Schizosaccharomyces pombe: one gene and its partners. The protein of the gene in region 4 interacts with the protein of the main gene of each other region in a pairwise test. Each region holds a gene or a part of one and is shown on either strand. Other genes may lie near its edges. The genes, in order: ted1, arp2, ish1 and man1.

Evidence for each region.
Region 1: the proteins of man1 (region 4) and ted1 interact in a two-hybrid assay, tested with the Schizosaccharomyces pombe proteins (2 studies listed by BioGRID).
Region 2: the proteins of man1 (region 4) and arp2 interact in a two-hybrid assay, tested with the Schizosaccharomyces pombe proteins (2 studies listed by BioGRID).
Region 3: the proteins of man1 (region 4) and ish1 interact in a two-hybrid assay, tested with the Schizosaccharomyces pombe proteins (2 studies listed by BioGRID).

Annotation. Positions count from the first base shown.
Region 1 is NC_003424.3:4,080,628-4,085,928, forward strand, and holds ted1 (phosphoprotein phosphatase), read right to left. Parts: upstream 2,879-5,301; 5' UTR 2,149-2,878; coding exon 856-2,148; downstream 1-855. Other genes in the region: protein adg2, read right to left, coding at 1-323; apt1 (adenine phosphoribosyltransferase), read left to right, coding at 3,059-3,142, 3,321-3,803; alpha mannosidase Mnl1, read right to left, coding at 4,393-5,301.
Region 2 is NC_003424.3:4,781,089-4,785,756, reverse strand, and holds arp2 (ARP2/3 actin-organizing complex actin-related protein subunit Arp2), read right to left. Parts: upstream 2,736-4,668; 5' UTR 2,703-2,735; coding exon 2,655-2,702; intron 2,631-2,654; exon of another isoform or gene 2,605-2,630; coding exon 1,480-2,604; 3' UTR 992-1,479; downstream 1-991. Other genes in the region: Golgi 4,6-pyruvylated galactose (PvGal) residue biosynthesis protein Pvg5, read left to right, coding at 1-595; protein Fta6, read left to right, coding at 3,484-3,514, 3,562-3,710; pheromone p-factor receptor Mam2, read right to left, coding at 4,023-4,668.
Region 3 is NC_003423.3:2,515,163-2,521,041, forward strand, and holds ish1 (nuclear envelope Ish domain protein Ish1), read right to left. Parts: upstream 3,552-5,879; 5' UTR 3,142-3,551; coding exon 1,087-3,141; 3' UTR 963-1,086; downstream 1-962. Other genes in the region: Golgi GRIP domain protein Grp2, read left to right, coding at 98-898; Ran GTPase-binding protein Hba1, read right to left, coding at 4,409-5,608. UniProt on the Schizosaccharomyces pombe protein: Has a role in maintaining cell viability during stationary phase induced by stress response. Activated by the spc1 MAPK pathway.
Region 4 is NC_003424.3:5,234,070-5,240,453, forward strand, and holds man1 (LEM domain-containing protein Man1), read right to left. Parts: upstream 4,310-6,384; 5' UTR 4,250-4,309; coding exon 1,715-4,249; 3' UTR 1,087-1,714; downstream 1-1,086. Other genes in the region: SPOM_SPAC14C4.04 (uncharacterized protein), read left to right, coding at 224-1,027; poly(A)-binding protein Nab2, read right to left, coding at 4,736-4,978, 5,025-5,123, 5,167-5,748. UniProt on the Schizosaccharomyces pombe protein: Required for correct meiotic chromosome segregation.

The DNA of each region.
Region 1 (5,301 bases), 1.2 Mb from region 4:
GATTGGGCGTAAATAACAGAGTCGTCGCGAATAGACGTAAAACTAATTTGGTAGCCATAACCTGGCGAAAGATCTAAAGCAGGAAATGTGGCATTTTCATCAAAAGTATTGATGGTCATTATGTAACGGCTTGTTGGTGGATACTCAACTTCGTTTATTAACCAGACATTAGCCTGCAGGGGATCAGTGCTGACCACACTCCATTCCAAGGGTTCAATATGTCCACTAGTCCAAACGTCTGAAGAAGAAGGAACATTAATTTCCATGCCAGCACAAAGCTTGGCTAAGCTAATTAATAGCCCGCTGATGGTTAATCTTCTCATTTCTCAAATAAATCCCTAGTTCGGCAATTGGCAGTGCACAGGCCTTCAGCAAGACGAATACCCAACTAAAAGTAGATGGTTAAGGAAAGAAAGTAAGCGAGAAAGGCGACTTAATATAGCACTTGGGTTTCTGATATGACCTAAGTGTATTAATGCTCAAAAGTGGGGCAATGCTGGAAACTGTATCGATGTAAACAAAAACAATCGAAAAATTGTGGATTCCAGAGAGACATTTATATTTGCACCTAAATTAGATAACGCATTCTTGGGTCGCGTTACTATGGTAACATTGGTCGACTTTGTGTAAATAAACATCCAGCACTACTGCAAGAAAGTACAAAAATGACGTTAAATGTAATTAAGGCACCACGTTAATTCAATGAATCTGCAGGTTCTTGGTTAAAAACCAGCAGAATGGCTGGTAAAAAAGGTTGGTTTCTCTCAAATTCACCTAAAGGCTGGATATATTGCCTGTTTAAGAGGCTGGTGTAAATATAAAACTGTTCATTTGAACAATTAGTGCACAACAATGTTAGATATGTTGCAATGATATTACCAATAAACGTAAGATGGTAAGTACGCATACCGATATGTGAAGAGCCCACCAAATATAAGATGGTCCTCCGTGACTCAAGGTATAAGTGGCATATATGTCGGAACTGAATTTTGACTGTTTCAATGAAGCCTTCTTCCATCGTTGGCCAATGAGTTTTTGAATCAGAAATGTAACAACCGAGGGTGTGTTCTTGGAGGACTCTGTAAGAACATCATTTGTCGCGATCAGTTTGACAAAACCAATATTTCCTCCAAAGTACCCCATTGCGCTGGGTAATGTATGTTCGATGGCACCGTTCGGGTGTTCGTAGTCACAACCCATATGATCATGGCCAGAAAGGACCAATTTGATGCTAGGAATCAATTCAAAAATTTTCATAGTAGTATTATACGATAAATGATTTTGAGACTTGACCCGAAAATCCAATTGACGAACGATTCTCGGTTCGTCAACACACACATTAGCTGGTTTGTAGAGTGGCACATGGGTGAACAGTATGGTTGGAATAGACGGCTCTAAAGCAATGTCGAAAAGAAATTGCCAAGCATCCCTAGCTTCTTTTGAAAGAGCAAGTATACCTAATGATGAAAAACTTTTACTGTTAATAATATCGCTAGGGTTCGCATCGTAAAACTGAACATCATCAAGCGAAAGGCTATTTATGCCGATCACACGGACAGGAAATTTAGAAACATTGAAGTGCGAAACCCAATTTACCGGGCCCATAGCTTGTTCCCATTTGCTAATTTGTGCGTCTGAACTTTCGCAGCCATAGCCAATGTCATGATTACCCGCAATCGTCCAAACGGGAATGTTACCGTTTTCAAAAGTACGTGCTGGTAAACTGGAGTTTCCTACTTGCCAAAAGTTTTTTGCCCCAGTGATTTTTTTCAGTCTTTTAGCTCTTTTGTTGAATTCTTCGTTATCCAAGTGCTGAAAACTGACCAAGTCACCCAACAGAATCATCGCATCTGGTTGACCCCAAAACTGATTCATATGTACAAGGTGTCGTAAAAACAAATCATTCCCCCAAAGATCTAAAGTGCCTTTAAAAAATCCATTTGCTTCGATTTTATGATTCCCTTCAATCTGAGGATCAGCAACCCCCATAATAACAAAAGAATTTTCATCTTCGAGTTGCAGCTTTCTTGGCATTATGCCAAATAGTAGAGGATAGGCATAGTAGACAGCTAAAAAAACTAGGCAAAGATAATGTAAAATAGACAGTTGTTTGTTCAACCATAATAAATTCGGATGTCTTGCAAACATTATTGACTTAATTATGTCAACGTAAATTAAAAAAGGGAACGGAGAGAAGGAGCGATTTTTGGAGTGCCTATTTTTACTTAGGAGCAGACTAAACGAGTAATGTAGAGGCGTAAGATTTTGGTTTTTGCTTTACTTACTAGATTATATAAATGGTATACCACCATAAAAGTGTCAATAAAGCTTTTTAGAAAGATTTGCTTTCAAATAACAAGAAATGAGCAGAACAGAATAGAAAAACAAAAAGCACAAATGAAACAACAAAACTTATTTTTCTAATCCATGAAGCTAGTAAATGGGTAATTTATAGGTATAGCTGCAGTATTCGAACAAACCCACTGCTAAAATTTAGATTGCAAATCAATGGTCAAATGATTGATTCAAAATTCCTGAAAAAGAAGCTTGGTTCTTAGAAAAATGTGTATCGATGTTTGCCGTTGAAATTTTTTTCTGAATTGAATTAATACCAAGTGTATCAGTATAACTGGCTTAAACAAATTAAAAAATAAGCTTTCTACTGAATGTAATAGCAAAAAACGGCTAATAATCTTGACCGAAGTTTGTTTAATGATGAACAACGGATATGACTGAAATTGCTTGAAGTGTATATCAAACTAAAGAAGGAATACCTCAAAACATGGAGTTGTGGCTGACAGTTTTCACGAAGAAAGGAATGGAAAAGAGCGTCGAATTTCAAACATAAACGTTTCTTTTAGAGCTCGTCTTAGCTGCCAAAGTTAACCCGGTACACTACTTAGTATTAATAGGTGAATTATGACTGACGTTTTTTACATTAAACGGATGGTAACATGTTACTTGAAAACAGCAGTCCAAAATTTTCGCTGCATAGACGGTAACGGAAATTGAGTATTTATTTTTTTTTGTAGAAGTTTTTACATAGCAATTTACTAAAATGTCCGACGATAGAATCAATTACCTTAAGAATAAACTTGTTCAATATCCAGATTTTCCCAAAAAGGGAATCTTGTTTGAAGATGTAAGATTTTATAGAAGGAGGAAATGCGCGAGGTTGGATAGGAACGGTGATATTATTTTGCTCAATTAGCGTGAAGTTTGAATCCAAAATACAATTCGAGAGGTTATATTATCTTTACGCCTTGCAATTGCTTAAATACTCTGTTAAATTATAAACAATAAGATGCTAATGTTATTAGATAATGCCCATTTTTCAAGATCCCAGAGCCTTTGGCATCCTTATCGATCTTTTGCTTGAAGCCGTTGAAACTGAATTCAATAACATTGATGTGATTGTTGGTTTGGAGGCGCGTGGATTTCTTTTTGGACCTACGTTGGCTTTACGTGCAAATTGTGCATTTGTCCCTGTCCGTAAGCCCAACAAGCTTCCCGGTGATTTGGTCGTCGTAAGCTACAATAAGGAATATTCTACTGATTCTTTTGCAATCCAAAAGGGTACTATTAAACCCGGTCAAAGAGTCTTAATAGTTGACGACATTCTTGCTACTGGTGGCACCGCCTTGGCTGCTGATGAACTCGTTACTCGTTTGGGTGGTGAATTAGTTGGACATCTCTTCCTTTTAGAACTTACATTTCTTCAAGGACGTAAGCGTCTTATGGCTCCTACTTATACACTTCTTACTGGACAGGATGAAGCACCTGATGGTAGTGAATTTGCTTAAACTATGAACTCGAAGTATGTATAAGCATTTCTAATTTTTAACGTTATATTTGCTTTATTCCTTTTTTATAAATGTTTAGGGTTCTGGGTTTTTTTCTATGGTTTATTCGTCAAGCTAGGATTTTTTTAGTCTAAGTTGTAAATTGAATAAGTTATACATTTTTCAACTAGTATTCTAAAAAGTAGGATTTTTGTTAGCAAATATATATAAATCGGGTGGAAATCGATATCTTAAAATGAAAAAAAAGAAAAAAGGATGCAACATCATAAGGAGAAAAGCTTATAAGGGTCATAAAGGGTATAATTTTTAGAATGGTCAATACCACGCTTTTCTTTAATATAAATAGGTAGATACATTCAGCTTATTATAAGCCTATTGACGAATCCACGTTATAATATAGCCCTCGATTAAAAGTATAATTACAAGAGAAAGCTGAATTATCCAAATATACTTTTATTAAGTATTGAATGGATAAACATCTATAGGCTTTGAAATCACGCAGCACAAATATTTTTTAAATAGTAAAAAGCATATATGACCGCAAGTCTATACACATGCGTAAATAAAAAATCACAAAACAGCGTTATTCCTAGCTGTTTATGCATTTCAGACACAAATATAGGTTTGAAACTGGAGTTCCTTGGAAGTACGAAGGGGCGTCAAAGTCTGATTGACGCACAGAGACGTTGGCCCATTTAGAAACAAAATTGTTTTCATTTTTTAAGAGAATAGTCGGAGGGATGTATGGTTTAACCCAATTGAATAGACTGTTTTGAGAATGAATATTTTCTAACGGATTAATAAATTCACCATCCGTGATGAGAATTAACAATCCTGCCTTATTGGTATTTTTTGCTTGCTGCACCCATGAGCAGTTGCCAAGTGGAGCAATATATGCTGTATCTTTGTCGAGAGTATCGGAGGGTTTTTGACACATACTGTTATTTAACAAGACTGTCTTAAAAACCTTTGAAGGTAAAGAATTATCGTTGTCAAATTGAAGGAATTTTCCAAACGTTTTTTGACCACTGTTCGGATTTTCTAGCTGAGCAATAGTTCGATCAAAGTACAATGCATCAGGTCTTGTGAAGGTCTCATAATCCGGATCGGTTAGGAAGACCGTGTCATTCTCATTTATAGATTCAGCTCCAGCAGTGTATAAAAACAGAGAATTAGAACCTTCTTTTTGAACGAATTTAAGTTTATTACCGATAATGTCGGATATGTATACATTATTGGTTACACGTTCCACTGATTTTATAGGACTAACAAGTGCACTTCCATAAAGGAGTTCAAAACCATCGGAATACTCTGGCCTCTTGCAAACACCCGATGGATCAATTAGATACGAGGGTATTGCTTTGTTATCAATTCCTACTAAATGAGAGACATAATCGTAATCGTCTCTAGATGCTATCAACGAATATAACATTGGCCATTTAGATCTGTCGTAATCTTCTGCAACACAAACTTCTCCACCGTCGTAAATTCTTTGAGA
Region 2 (4,668 bases), 450 kb from region 4:
CCCCATCAATTATGCTGAATATGCCGACGATGAATGTCAACTTGCACTCAAAAAGATTCGACCAATTCCGGATAAGTACCTTGTCTCCACTCGGGTATTATCGGATTCACGATATCTTGAGTTAAGTGGTGCAGTTGTCGCCTTTGCCCCTGATGCGTCTTCTTCTTTGCTATTTGAATTAGCAGATATTAAGCAGCATAAAAAAACTTCAGCTGATATACTGATATTTCTATCCAAAGATCACAATTTGCCTGTTTCATTTTATGATAATTATAAACTTAAATATACATTGCACTTTTGGCAGCCTCCATCTTTTCCCGATTCCTCTACTATCGACGATCAAGCCAAACTTTTATTTGACTACGTGGTGTCCCAAGTTGTGAAGTACCCATATTTTGTAACTGATATTTATCAGATACATTTACTTGGCGTTTATCTTAACTTGAAGCATGTTTATTTACTCGAAAACGATGACGTGGAAGATGCTTATTATGAACGACAGTGGATGCAGGCGTTCCAGCGGAAAAATGTTGTTGCTGTAGCTGAGGAACTTCAAACAGCTCTTCGAATAATTGAACAATGGAAGCAACTTTAAATTACTTCTTCTGGATTCTTCTCTTATTTACTCCAGTCGTTTCTCCTTTTTTATTCTTTGCTTTTGTTCTTTGTTTTTATATTTTCATTTTCATTACTGTTGTTCTATGTTGTTCATTTTTTATTCACATATTTTCGGTTTCACGTTGTTTTTCATCTGTCGGTTTCACGAGGCATTTTGTCTTCGTAAACTACACTTTTATATTTGTTCTTATTTATTTAAGGTTGTTTCAATGTTCCGTCGTTTTGTTTCCTAATGAATTCCTCTTACACCGTTATGAGAAATTTCAGTCGATTTGTGCGGCAATTTCTACTCCTCTTATGCTGTCGTGCTTAATTAAGAGCATTAATTTTTCTAGGCTGTCTTGGACACATTATTAATGGTTTATATATACAATTTAACAAAAAAATTAGGTCGGTAATTTATTTATTTACAATAATAGAAATTCCTGCTTTTAAATGTTACTCATGTTTTCCGTGGATGTCAATCTTCAGAAAACTAGAAGCTCAGAATGTCAAGCTATTTTTGTTAAAACTAGGACCTAATAAGAAAACGCCCTAAATGGGCGAAACCAAATATATACGTCACGGGAGTCTAGTCATTAAGTCTGTTGCTATTGAAGTGTACTAGTGCATATTGAGTAAATAAGATCGTTGGTTACAAAAAGGTTGTATAAACATCAAGCATAAGTAAATAGCCCATCAAAAGAAAAAGGAATCAAAAAGGCAAATAAAAGAAGGAATCGTACCGTCTTTTAACGATGGTCGGATTAAACAGAAAACGTAATCATTTAGCAAAGTTTGAAATTTATGAATCAAACTTCGTATAACTCAATTTACTAGCACATAAAAAGAAAGAAACAGAACATTAAACATAAATATACTCTAAGTAGTTCTAGGACCCAATTTGTCTAGTGCACGTACTCCATACTCCTCCCATTCTGCCTTGGACACCCACATGTGATCGTTTTGAGCCATGATATCTGCCAATACGGCGCCGCCGATAAACACGGCATGACGGCGACGAGGAGCGTCTTCAATCTTAACCTTAAAGTTAGGCAAACGTGCGGGATCTCCATGAAGAACACGCTCAAACCATAACTGTTTTATTTCCTTTTCAAGACGTGAAGGAAGACCGGCATACATACTGCTACCACCTGAGAGAACAATGGCGCGATACAAATACTTGCGAATGTCCACATCAGCTGCTTGGATAGTGTCAAAAATAAATTCACTCAAACCTGGTTGTTCACTACCAACCAGATGAGGTTGAAATAGACATTCTGGACATTCATAACGCTCAGAACCAACTTTAATAACTCTTCCATCAGGAAGGGTGTAATTACGCATTAAAACGGTAGTTTCTTCGCTAAGCTTATGGTCCAATTCCAAATCATAACTAACGTAACAAAGTTTTTCTTTCATCTCGCGAACAGTTTCAAAGTCTGCTGTACGATTGAAAGCATAACCCTTACGAAGAAGTAAGCTAATCAAATAGCGGGTAGCATCCCTACCGGCAACGTCAAGGCGACCAACTAAATGATTTAAAACAACACTTTCATAGACAGGCACAATATGGGTTACACCGTCACCAGAATCAACAACTACACCACTGCTTAATCCCTGTGCGTATAAAGAGAGAACGGCCTGAATGGCGACATAAACACCACCAAAACCATACCGTTCAAACATTGTCTCACACATTTTTTCGCGGTTAGCAACAGGATTCATAGGGGGCTCGGTCAACAAAATTTTCCTACCCCTCGGATCAATTTTTAGTTTTTCAAAGAAAGTGTAATCCCAAAGTTGATTCATCTCTTCAAAATCACGGATAATGCCATTTTCCATGGGATATTTTACTTGAAGTAAAGATCTCACCGCCTCAGCTTCATCACCGACCATAACATCTTTAATTTGAACATTTCCTGTTTTCTCTTCAGCACGTAAAATGGGCCTTCCTACGATGGATGGGAATTGAAAGCGCGGAAAATTGTCTTTAGCATATCCGACCTTGCTAACGTTAGTCACAGTGTAAACAAAGATTTAATTAAACTGATTACCTTCACAAAACCAGTTCCATTATCTAGAACAATGGGAGCAGACTCCATTTTATAAACGTCTCGTGTAGTTGGTGAAAGGTTAGTTCTTAAGTCCACCCCTATGTAATGTACCGGCGGTAACTATCTGCCATATACCGTATGACACAGCAGCACTGCAACTGTAGCAGAGCATTCGGTGATATATCGTAAATATGTAATATCGTAGGAAAGCGAAGTGCAGTAATCTTGAGAATTATAAAACAGAAATGAAGTATCTAAATTAATTTAACAATTGGCTGCAAAAAGAATAGCTCAAAGGTTTTTACGGTTAATGATCTTATCTTCTATTGTACTTAGCATTAGTATCGTTACCCCTTATACTCAAAGCCATAACTGTGCATTTATAATTGTTCGGCAGTAATGTATATTATCGCTTATTAGTTAAAAGATTCTTCGTTTCACATAGTATTACTATTATTTAAAAGAAAAACACGGACTCTATTTGTTTGTTTAATGTGCAGGTAACACTTCGATCGTTTATTATGAGATTGGTATGACTAGGAGCGCTGTGCAAAAATGAAGAATCGCGGAACCGATTTAATAAAGAATTTATTTCTCTAGTAACTAGATGTGTGCATTAAATTGAATACAAGACTTAAACAAAAGAATTATAATTATCGACATATACCATTATTGAATATTTGTCATCTGTTTACTGAAATAAGTGGAGCAATGCAATTTGAGAATAACACATATCGGTTTAAAGATCCTTATTATATTGCTATTACTAAATTAAGGAGTGTAACGTTTCGCAGCTAAAACATTTCGATACAATATTTGATAAAAATAAATGGAGGATAAATACATTTTATTGTCAGCAGGTTGGTTATAATTTTTATTTAATAGCTCAATACTTACGTGTATATAGTGGAAACGTTTAAATCACGTCTGGAAGAACTGCTAATGCAATCGGCCAAAGTACAAAAGCAAACGATGCTTAGAAAGGAATTAGCTTCTTCGATGAATGATATGGCTTCTACGGTACAAGAAGCTTTAAATAAAAAAAAAAGTTCGTAAGGTAAGCACTTGGAGACTCAAAACATTATAGTTCATTATAGATTACGAAGGCAGTTCATTCACTATTGTTTTAATAAGTGTTTGTGAAGTACGACTTGAAGTTTTCATGATAATAAGTTATTATAATCATATAATTTCATTGATGTTTATAGTAAACAATTGTTCATGAAGCGAAAAAAAAAAAACCATTAGAAAACTTCCCTCTGAGCAAATTATGATTACAAGCCTATCGTAAAAAAACCGTCTATGTTATTTGGGACTGTTATTGAGCCAGTATTAGGAATTATCAAAAAAGATACATTCAGGCGTAAGTTACGTCCACTTTTTAGTTTCAGATTCATCAGAAATCGAATAATCGTCACTGGGAGTATGTTTGATATCAAACGTTCTATCAACTCTAATCGAAACCTCGGTGGTTTCTCCTTGCGCAGATGAAGTTTTCATGCTTTGCAATTTCAGAGCTGTACTAGACGCCCATAAACTCGAAAGAGGAAGAGAAATGATTAGCAGACATTGAGTCATAGAGCTAAAGCCATCATACGTATGGATAAAACTATCTATTATAGTAAAGGTAGCTGGAACAATAAGACATTGGCAGCTAATAACTAAAATACACTGCATCGGACCAAATGGAAATTGCCCAATTTTTTTCCGTATTAATATGGCACGAAAGAGTTTGTATGAAAAAACACCACTGTGAAAAATAATGCTAAAAGCAAAAAGTATTTTAGCAATAAAGTAGGGCCAAGAGTATCCAACAATGGTCTTGCTGCTAAGTGGAGTTAACCATAACAGATACTGAATCTGTTGACACATGTTAGTAATCCAAAATGCGAGAACCAAAACAGTTAAGCAGGCACTAATAACAGTCATTATCCTTTGTGTCTTTCTATCATGTGCACAAATTATACGAACTTGAATCATCATGCTCATCTCAGCAGTAAAAATGATGACCGGT
Region 3 (5,879 bases), on a different chromosome or scaffold from region 4:
ATGCTATAAATTTATAATCTAATTTACTAAATTCTACCTTGTGGTGTGCAAGACGTTTATCGATGCAGGCATAACCATTCCAAACAAGGAGCCAGTTATGGAAACCACTGTTTCAGCAAAAAACAGTTTAGAAAACGAAAATTTTCTAAAAGAGAAATCAGAAACAGTATTTCTAGATGAAGCCGCAATAACCAAACCGCCTGCTTCAAAAAAGAAGCGTAAAAACAGAAAAAAGAAGAAGAATAATGGTCCTTCAGAACAATTTGTGGGTAATAATGATTTAGAGGAACAACGCTCCGGCTCGATCGATTCAAAAGATAAAGAAAAACCTCTAGATGAAAAGGTAAAGGAGTTGGAGAATGCAAACAAAACCTTGAGTGACTTGGTTCGTAGGATCCAAATTCAACGCGACGAAGCCGAACAGAAGGCAGAAATCTACAACAGGGATGCTCTAAATACGAAGCAAGAGCACCTTGATATAAAAAAAAGATTAGAGAAATCTGATGAAACGGTCTGCAAACTAAAGGAAGAAAACGAAAATCTTCAAGATATGCTCAGGAATGTTGGAAACGAGTTAGTGGAGTCAAGGGATGAAATAAAAGAACTCATTGAAAAGCAAAAGGTTCAAAAGGAAAGTGTCAAATCTCACGAGAGCGAGCTGTCCAGTGTTATGAGCAGTGAAATATTGCCCAAAGCTTCAAGTGATTCAGCAGGTTCATTCGAGCCACCTGTTATAAGCAATATTTCTAAAGAATTGATTAACAAAGAATATGCTAGAAATGTTTTACTGCAATTTTTAGAGAATCACGAACATCGCGATAAGATTTTACCAATTCTTTCCACAGCTCTAGATTTGGAGGAGGTGCACCAACATCTAATTCTGAAAAACTTAAATTAATAAAAAAGTATCTTGATGGATTATATTAATGTTAACAATAGGATGGATTACTTGCCAAGGAAGGTTAAGTAGCGAATATGAACATAGATATTTCATTAAAAGTCATATATTAAACGAGAACTCGTTTTAGACGTAATCTCCTTCTTTTTAAATAATATAAATAGACATTAAGAACGTTCATGAACAATTTACAAAACCCTTTGGGCTTTCTTTACATTAGTTTCGACATAGTCGCCTGCTGAAGATACAGCAGATGAGGCTTTAGAGGCAGTATCTTTTACCTTTTGAATGTTTTCTCCTAGCTTAATTTCAGCTACGTCGCGAGTGCCAAATCCCATAAAAGAAGCAACACGTCGAAGGAAGCCAGAGACTCCTGATTTAGCCTTGTCGGCAACAACAGGACCATAGAATAAAATATCATGACGCTTTAAGCGTTCAATAGCATCTTTACGATTAAACACCTTACCAATACTGTCACCATATTCCTTGAGTGCAGACTTTAGATCTTCATTAGACCAAGAGTCATAACCGGGAACAGTTGCCTTAGGAAACTTTGATTGAATCGATTGAAGAACAGATTTGTCAGCCTTTTCAGCAATAGCGCGATAAATATTACAGGCATTTTGGAAAAGATGTTCACGATCTTTGGATGGGTGAAGTTTTCCATGGTAATGTTTTTTGTATTCCTTAATCCAGGCAGAAAGCTCTTTGGAGCTCAAAGTATCAAAATAAGCAGCCCAATTAGGAACAGCGCCTTTATTGAAATGCTTACGAACAAGGTCCAGTAATTGATCCTTAGTAGAACGCTGAGGAACCGGAACTCCACGAAGGAACAAAAATTCCTTCAATTTAGAGTCTTGCCAGCGCTCGATGATGGTCTCATCTATTGTTTCACGTACTTTAGATGCCGCCTTACTGGCAACCTTACTAGCGGTTTCAGCAGCATAGTCAGCAGCTTCGCCTACCTTCTCTGAGGCAGTAGAGCCAAGGCTGGCAGCCTTACCTTTCATTTGCTTGGCTTTTGAAGTGGCAGTATCCTTATTATGTTCAAATGCAGATGTTACCGATTCTGCGGCGGTTTTCGCACCCTCTGTAAAACGAGAGGCTCCAGAAGCAGCGCCTTGATAGGCTTCTGTAGCACCACTTGCAACATTAGAGGCAATAGAAGAAGCAGAGTCAGCCACGTTGGAAGCTTCCTCATAGGCCTTTGACTTTAGAGCCTGATAACCGTTTGTTTTTAAGTAATACTGACGACGAAGGTGAGCGTAAAATTGATCAATTGGAGATGGTTGATAAGCAGGAATACCATGAGCGTCAAAATATGCTTTTAGTCCAGAATTGGCCCACCAATTACCAAATCTGCCCCTTCTTTTCGAAATTTCTTGTAGAAGTTCACCACCTTCTTCCATCTTTTGTCCTGCATATTGACCAGCTTCACTAGATTTCTCGTTAACCAATTCTTTAGCATCGCCAGCTTTGTCAGAAACAAATTCTCCAGCTTGCTTTGCCTTCTCGGAAGCCTTGCCCTTTACAGCTTCAACAGAAGGTTGGGCTTCGTCAGCTTTAGTAGAAATATAGTTCTTCAGCTTTCTAAGCAAGTGAGAACGAGTACTTTCATGGGAAGAAATGGGAACACCTACATCATGCAGCCAGGTGCGCAATTCGTTATCGGACCAGGTATCATAAATCCAATCTCCAGTATTGCCTAATTTAGAAGTGAGGGCATCATATTCCTTTGCAGCTGTTTCGCGAAGTGAAGCAGGACTCAACTTCTCCAGAATGCCTTTCTTCTCTTTAGCAGCAAATTGGGGACTGTGTCTAGCTAAAAAGGCTCGCAATTGTGAATCAGACCAAGATTCGAAAAGCGAAGCCTTTTGTGACTCCCAGGCTTCTTGAGTGGCATCCCGAGCATCCTCGACAGAGCCACTAAGTTTACGACCCGTCTTACGAATTTTGTTGCTTATAGCATCAAGATATGAAGATTCGGTTTTTTTTCCCAACCAAGAATTTAAATTATGGCCGCTCCATTTGTCAAGGTTAGGGACCAAGGAATCATAAGATTCGGAGATAAATTGCTGAAAGTCAGAAGGAGAGCTTCTTGATCCATATGGGATTGAGTGCTCCTCTAACCAAGTCTTTACAGCGGAGGTGTCGTTTTTTCGATAGGTAGAGAACCCATACGTAAAGATATAAAAGACGATGGCAAGCAAGACGCCTAAAGATGCCACTGATCGAGAACGCATTTTTACAAATCAAAATAAATAAATATCACAAAAAGAAGATAGATAAGAAGGAAAATAAAAAATATAAATTATTCCTCTTGAAATAAAATTGAGGGAACTAAAAAAGTAAACCCTACTAAACGGTAAGTTGAACTTTGAATCACTAAACTAAGGGATAATGAGAAAGGTATGTCGGAAGATGAAAATAACCCACTTTAAAGAATCCTATTTAACACAAATTTCAAATAAACCAGAGTTCTAAATACTACCACAGTATGTATTAGACCAAAGTTTTACCTAAAATGGAATACAAAGAGCACAAGTGAAGAAACAAAACAATCCTAATCAAGGATTATAGAGACAATAACCTCCAAGTTAAAAAAGAAACAGAGAAAATTTAGTAATTACTATAGGTAGCTTACTTGGAAAGCGAGGAATTCCCAGAGGCAATAGCATGTTATATATACGCTAAAAAAAGGCATTGCATCAGATAATCTAACTGACGTAAACTCCCTCGAAATTAATGAGGAAAGGTTCGTTAGTTAGAAGTCCTAAGAAACGTCGTTAGAACGAATTGAAGGGGAGACAATACATCATGAGTTTAACTATCAGTAACTAGGGATTAAAGGAAATTAACGATAGCGCACAATCTGACTTAAGATACTCTTGAATAAAATTATATTTGGTGATTGATATCGTATTTAAAGTATTATAGCAATCTTAAATTTTGATTATATGTTAGAGTGCTGCTAGATGTATTTGCTGTGTAAAATCACATTGATGCTAGCAGCAATCGGCCATAGTTCATGATTTGAAAATGAAAAAAATATACATAGAGAGATAAAAATCTCGAAGTGCGATGATCTGGTTGTATGGTGGATAAAATCACAATTTTGAAAGGACAAACGATCGCAAAACTTACTACTCTCTGCTCCTTCAAGATGGCGTACTGAGCAATATGAAGATTAAATTAGGTAAAAATGGAGGAAATAAAATACGTACTGTGATGTACACATTGTTAGTAATTTTGAAAAACTGTAGTTATAGAGGTATGCCTCCCAATGATAAGACGAGTGTATAGAAATAGACTGACCCGGAAAATCAATTATTAAAAGTCAATAGGATCGGCTCATTTAAATCATGTATAACTTTAACCCGTCCTATAGCGTGACATATTTTGCATATAGATATAATATTTTTGGACTTTCGAATGAATAAGAACCATAGTGAAGAGCTAAAAAAGAATCGAAAAGTACTTACTATTTTACGAGTGGATCTTCTATCTCGCTCATGCATCTTCTCTTCCACCCTTAGGAATGGCTTCCAAAACGTGATTGCGTAGTTGTTCTGCCAAACTGTTATCTTTGACACGAACAGCATATAACACAGATTTTCCATTTTCAATAACGAAGATCTTTAAGTAATTAGCAGAACCACCACTAGATGCTGATGCAATTTGTAATGACTTTTTCGACATGCCTTGGAAAAGAGGCACGTTCATTATAACTCGATGCACGGCATCATTTCTCATCAAAAGGCGGCCTGAGCCTGATCCCCTTTGCTTGGGAACATTTACTTTCAAAATTCCCTGCCCACGTTCCTTCCAAGTCTTTTTTTCATCAGCAACAACATAAAGTCTTGCGCGAACACTGAATATTGATTCCTCCTCTTCCTCCCCAGTGATGATTTCTGAATCACTCAACTGATGCATAGTAGACTTTGTTGAGTCTCCACTACCCTTGTCAGCCTCCTTAGGTTCCGATTTGGTTTCACCAGCTGAACCTTTCTGATTCTCGAATGCTTTGGCTGACGTATTCGCAAGTAACTCGTCAAAGTTCTCTGAACTCTTTTTATCATTTTCTTTTTCTTTGCCAGAACCACTTTCTGTTTCAACTGCTGTTCCTGCAGCAAACTTTTTAAATGGGCTATCCTTAACGCTCTTCATTGTGAACGCTGACTTTGAAGAAGCGAAAGCACCAAATGCTGATTTCTCTTCTTTTGGTTCAGAGGAGGCGGTTGAAACATTGGAGAATGGAGACGAGGCATTAGAGAATGAAGCAAATTGTGAAAAGGGAGAAACACTCGCGGCAGGCTTAGCAGCCGATTCTTTTTTGCCTGTCTCTACAGCTACGTGTCCCTCATTTTCATCAACATCCTTATTCACCTTCAATTCTTTTTCTTCTACCTTACCTCCAGTTGAGATACATGGCTCCGTGTTTGATTCCTTTTGGATTTTAGTAGACTCAGTAATCTCAACCTCCGGTTTTACGCCATTGCTCTTCGTAGTCTCTTTAAATTCCTTAACTTCAGCATTCCCTTTATCTTCCAGCGGTTCACTCTTCGAGACTTTAGTGGAAACCGCTGATTCTTCTTCTGCCGGATCGTGCTTTCGCTTTGAAGTTTCGTCTTTTGTTTCGTTCGATTTTTCTTCTAACGCATTTTTGGTAGAAATGCTTTCATCTTTATTATTTTCCATTTTGCTGGTCATTATATCCACTTAAATATTATTTGCTTAATCGTATTTTCGTAATTTTTGATGTTGGGGGTATTAAGTGTAGTTTGGAATCCCGAATCACTGAAAGCCTAATATATTTCACCTAGCTATGAGTACATGAGGACGAATGTGGATTCAATCAAACACACAGCTGTTTAAAGATTTAAGATTTAATTATACGATTACATTCATTGAACAGCTGCGAATAATTTAAATTCATTTGAAAAAAAACGCTAATCTAGCATGTCATGAAGTGCAAATCTCA
Region 4 (6,384 bases):
CACCAATTTTACTCATAATACAGAACTCATTAAAAGAAGCTTTGATCTACTTCTGCAAAAATTTGGATTGTCAAATCTTCTCCTGTTAGCATAAATTCTTCTCTAGCTATAATTAGAAATCATTTGATAAGTTTGCATCCATTTTCTTTATTATAGATTGCAACTGGTTTATTTTATTGTAATCTCGTTTTTACTCACAAACTATTAAAAATTATCTATCATCATGTCTATGCCCATTGTTCGTGAAGTTAATAGTGATGGTTCCATGTTGCAGCCCTTTAGCAATCCCTTGTGGGTGCCTACTCCAGTTGGTAGATCGGGTAGAAAGCATAGAACGCTTAAGATGTGTATTGTATTACCAGACACTGGGTACGATGTTACTCAGGTTTGCGATCCTTGGCAATTTTTTGTAAAGGAGGGATTCATGGTTAATTTTGCTACTTTGACTGGTATTGTTGCTCAAGCCGATCAGCGCCTTTTAAGTGGAGTGAAATCTTGGTTCATCGGTGCCACATACAAGACTAAGGATATTTATGAAAGAATGTCAACTACCAAAGAATTTTTAAGTCCTTCAAATATGTCTGATATGAGCTTTACCTTTGAAAACTTTGACTTGGTTTATGTGCCAGGAGGGCAGGATCCCGCTGTTTTAGAACTTGTAGAGTCTCCTCGTCTCAGTTCATTGTTAGCTGACTATATACCTTTATGTGCCCGTGTTAGTGGCACCCGCGTTTTAGCAACAATGGCTCAAGGAGCAATCGCTGTTCAGCGGGCTGCTCCCAATCTTGAGATTAAATCGACTACGACTCCACTTTATATGGAAAGAGCGTCTTATTTATTTGGCGCATCTAATCCTCCGGCTTATACTTATACTTATATTCCTGAATCGAAATACGTACCAGGGCCCAAAACTGCTCACTGGGTTTATTCGGACGAAAAGTTTTTCTATGCTTCCGGTCGTTACTCTGGCGATGTTGAACTACTTTGTAAAGCTTTACGAAATCTCGTAGCAAGTGCATTGCATTAATCTTTCTTATTTGTCTTTACTATTTTATCTTATACTAAACGTGTTAATTATTTCTTTGTTGAGTTTCCCAGATTCTATTTTAATTTCATATTCTATAAATTTCATATTTCTGCGTATTTAGAGTTATATTGCAATAAAGATAATTCAATTTGCGAGTTTGGCTTTTGTTTGATTTGGAGCATTTTATGGCCCTTGTTTATCGTTCATTTTTAGTCCTAGAACTCTAAAAGTGTATTAGACCTGTTTTAGACTGTACCGTTCAATACCGTCGAGGCATTGAATTTTTACAAACATGCCAGAACCCTTCAAAATAAGAACTGTCACATGGAACTCTTTATTTTCATTGAGGCCGGATGCCAAATGCTAATTTGAAATGCTCTTTTAGACAGCTAATGCAAACGGTTCGGGTCTAAATTTGATATTCTTTTTTTAATTAGAAAAACCAATGTTAAATTAATGAAATTTTCGAATCTGTTGATTAAATTTTTCGATAGTGTTTCAATCTATAAGCTCCTGTGCTTAACAAAGTGCAATAACTAAAAAATAATTATATTAACGTGAGGAAAATAATGTTGACATAATAGTACCTACTGATGCTGCACTCGTATCTAGATTCATAAATCATCATGCCAAACGACATTCATAAAGTTTGACCTTAAGGTCATTTTTTATATATCTAACCGTATTTTATAAGGCAATGTCATCTGAAAAAACCCCGATCCATTCCCAAGCACGATTTTTTGCCAAGCGCTCACTGTCCCATACCTTTACGCTTACCATTCCTTCAAGGACTGAAACCACCTTTTCCCATATTTCTAATTGAATTGACAAAGGGAGATGTACAAGTTCAAAAAGGCCCTTGTCATCTGCGACTCCAGATACAAAACAGTCAGAACGTAGCTGCACGACTTCTACACGAGGATTGACAGAAAAATCTGTCAAGGACTTTAGCTTGGTTTTTTGTAGCTTAGCAATACAATGTGAAACGCATACGGAGACTCCATGCTTTACTACATGCTTCTTGGCATAGACTCTTATTCGCCATACAACGGTACCGGTAATAGCTGCCAATATACCAATCAACAAGTAAATTCGCCAACAGGATATAACTGCTGAAGTCAAATACTTCATTAAGGAAACTGTATGAGAGTAGACAGATCGCAAACAATTAGTCGGAAATTTACTCAATGCCCCACGTACTCGGAGCTTCCATAGCTCAAGAGTAAATAGTGGAGAAAATAAGTAATATAGTACTTTTCTTGTCAGCTTTGAATTATATAGACGGTTTAAAGTAGTCTTCAGATATACTTTAAAATCTTTAAGTCCGACTACATTATCGATGTCCTGCTTATACATGTAATATCGATCCTTAAAATTGTCAACAAATGATTTTCCGTTTAAATTCTTTGCACTTTCAAAAGTGGCAAATTCTTTAGGGGCTTTATAGTACCACTTTCCGATAATAGACATAAATGCCTGCACCATCTCTTCAACCTTATTAACCTTCACGGTATTCGGAATACATCGTGGGTATGGTTTTAAGCCGAAATCTGCAAGTAAAGGAAACGAAGCCTTTAATCCTTCTTTGCAAAATAACTGACGATTGAAACCACATTCAGCGTTCTCAGGACAAGGTTGACAAGAGGCTTCAATTCCTAAAGAGTGAGCAAATGAATATGCAGACTCAATAGAGGAACGTAAAACTCCTGGTTGGAGATAATATAGACTAGAAGGATAAGGTTCGGCAGGAACTCCACAGAAGCCAACGCGCTGTACTTCTTGATGCCAAAAGCCTACAAATCCCAAGAGAGGTACGACAAGCAATACAAGCCATAAGGAATTTACCACTTTGGTAAAAGAGAAAATTAAAGAAATGAATGAACCAAGACTAAAGTATGGCCTTTTAGGTTGCCTATCCTTAGTCAAGGAAATATTTTCCTCCACGCGATCAATACCCGTAGTACTAAGACCGAGATCAGAAGAAATCTCATTAACCGAATCATCGTCGGGTTTTTGGGAATCAAATTTTTTCTTCTCTGGCGTCGATGTATTAGATGCTTCTAACCCAAAATTTGTAGAAAACGCAGGGTTGACAGGACGATGAATTGATGCATTTGCTTCGTACAGCTGATTTAGGTGTTCTACAAAAATTGAGGAAGATTGAGATTGAGGAAGGGGTGATGATGAATTCTTTTTGGGATGAGTCCATGAAAAACTGTTATTTTCTGGAGTGAAGTTCTCCGAATTACCAGTAGACAAGCCAACCAAATTGTTGAGTTGGTCAAATGACTTGTTTGATTTGAGATAAGAGTCGGAACTTTGTTGAAAATTTTTTCTGACTGAAAGAAGGTTACTTGGATTACATTCAAGCGAATTCAACGACGACTTGATAGGAGAAGCGTAAACGCTTGACGAACGGGAGGTAAACTTAGGCTTTAGGTTTTCGCCTAAGAAACTGAGAAAAGAACTTTGGTTCAATGGATTTTCGCTTTTTGGAGACGTCGTGTTCAATACCTTTACTGGCGTTGGATCACCCGACACGGAGGCATTAACAAGATAGCTTTGATCATAGTCTAAAAACTTTGAAGCAGGTGTTACGATATTACCAACTTCTGCAGAAAAATCGTAAGTAGCGGTGTCTACAGAAGAATCCTTGTTTGTTAAATTCTGGACAATTGAAAAAGACGATTCCATTGAGTTGTCGAGGTTTACAACTGCCGCATTAAGCTCAGTTTGCGTCTCAAATGGTATATGTGTTATTTCTTCGTTTCGCGAATCTATTTTGGCAATCTTTGAGGCATGAAATTCAGATTCTTCTGAAATGGTTATCGTGTTAGTATTCAAAACTTGAACGTTCTCGTCCTGTAACATCCCCATCACATTATCTTCAAATTGTGAAGTTTTAGAAATTTCTGTATCATTAGCCTCGTCAACCATATTTATTTTTCTCTTAGAGCTAATTCGAGCAGTAACATTATTCGTAACCCCTGCCACCCTTCTACGAGGACTACGAGAAGACGGAGGAACGTTCTTTTGCTGCAATTCTGTCATAGAGATCAAGCCATTTTTTGCCCTTCGTAGTTTACTGAAAAGCGTGATTAACTGCGCTTTCTTCGCCGTTGACGGATAGTATATTTGATATTCAGTTAATATATTACGCAAATCTACTACTCGAAGAGACGAAGGATCATAATCGGGGTCAAAATAAGAAGGGACCTCCATTCAATTAAAAAAAACCTTTTAACTAAAGGGTATGTGTATAGACGTAAAACTGGCGAATGTAAATACCAAGTGATTGTTGTCAACAACATGGTGTAAGCCAAGTAACCAACAAGTAACATAAGATGTATTTAGTAATGAATGTCAACAAACGTGGGTATTTGAATATGTATAATATTAACTTAACCGAAGAAGTAAATAAATCATTATTTGCATAATTCACATCAAAATAAAATTTTCATTCACTAAAAAGACATCAATATAACGAAAACAAATTTTTTAAATCAATTTAGCGACTTGATAATTGCCGATTGCAGCAAACGTAGCGACAAATAAAACTTTATCGTTTTAGCAATCTATACAATAAAATAAATATCAAGTTTGCAAACTCTAGAAGGTATGTTCTTAAACGAAGTATCCTGGCTTGACTATCAAAAGTAGATATGTGCCAATTATACGAACACGAAATAGTATCATAATTCTCTAAATTTACACAGAAGGAACATGAAGTTGTTCTTCTGACTCGTTAACAGCAAACGAACGTTCACTCAGGGACGTCTCTTCTGTTTTAGAGGGTGGCCGCCATGTCATATTTCTGCTTTTCGTCGGGTGGATAAAACGACAAGCTGGATTCAAACACGGTTTATATTTACAAGGAATTGGAATGGTTGACATGGACATGAAAGGTGGTAATGTAGTAACCGTAGCTGGAGATGGATGTCCCTTGACACACTGTATACGTTAGTAATAGTTAGATTTAAATTATTATGGTACTTACATCAGCAGCTTTGCATTCTTTACCAGAAGCACACATTTCACTGCTCAGGACCATACCTTCTCCTGGGGCTGCGGCTGGTGTCGGATGAGCAAATATACACTAAAGAGTTAGTTTTAACAAATTATCTGATATTAATACATACGTTAGCACGGGAGCACTTATCGGCATATTTGCACAAAGGGACCTCTTGGGTTTGAGTGAGAGCACGCTTGGCAGCAGGCATAACGGATTTCGAGTAGTTAAACGAAGCTGCCATGGGATTGAATCGCTGTTTCTGAGATGTAAGTTTGAGCTTTTGTCCGACACGCCCAGTAGGTAGCTCCTTCTCTTCACGTAACGAAGTTATATTAGGAGTTTGAGAAGATTGAGGTTGTATGCTAGTTTCCGGCACAGAGAAAGATTGCTGCGACTTGTCAGTTGACTCCTTCTCGATAAAATCGATTTCGTCGATCTTGCTGACTGACTCAACTGAAGCATTTTTTGATTTTTCAAGCTCTTCAATTTGATTAAATAACCAAAGTGAGAAGCTAGTATCAAAATCGGACCCTATTAAATCAACTAGTTCTTCATTAATTTCAGTTTGTGTTTTTCCATTGCTAAGCATCACAAGAACAAAATCGGCCAGAGAAGCAGCCTCTTCTCCCCACCCATATTCAGAAAGTTTTTTTTCAATCGAATCATGAAGTTTTTCACTATATCCAGGTGTTTCCAGTAATGTAGTCATGTTGTTGGTTTACAGTCAATAATTAACTAAAATAAGCCAAAATAATAGAGATGCTCAAATTTACAATAAATGTACTCCGAGAATTAGTAAATCAATTCCACTCCTGTTATGGAATCAGAATTTAATAAGTTATGTACCGGTATATGCTCTAAAATGAAATCAAATAGCTCAACTTAGCATGAAATAAAGGAATTGAGAAGAAAGAATACAATCACAAAAATATGTTCACAGACAAGAAGTTGGCAAATTTGCCGTTCCAAAAGAAATAAACTTCCTATAGATGATGCGTTCGGAGAGCTTCAATGGAATACGTAGACTAAAGGTAATTTCTAGTAGCAATAGTTATATTGATACTGCAAGCCGTAAGTTAAAATACAGCAAGAGCCTCAGTTCAAACGTAAGTGGAATATAAGAAATATCTTTCACAGTAAGAACAGAAAGAATTAATAAATAGCATAAAATAGCGAGTTTGCTAATTTTTTTTCGAATATTATACCCAATTTCACTATAAGAACTATTCAACGACTAACGATGACACTATAACGCCACAACGTAACAGCATTAATTAAACTAGTCCAGAATCTAAGCGTCTAATATATATACATCTAAAGGCTTAGCCAACTACAAAGCAATTAC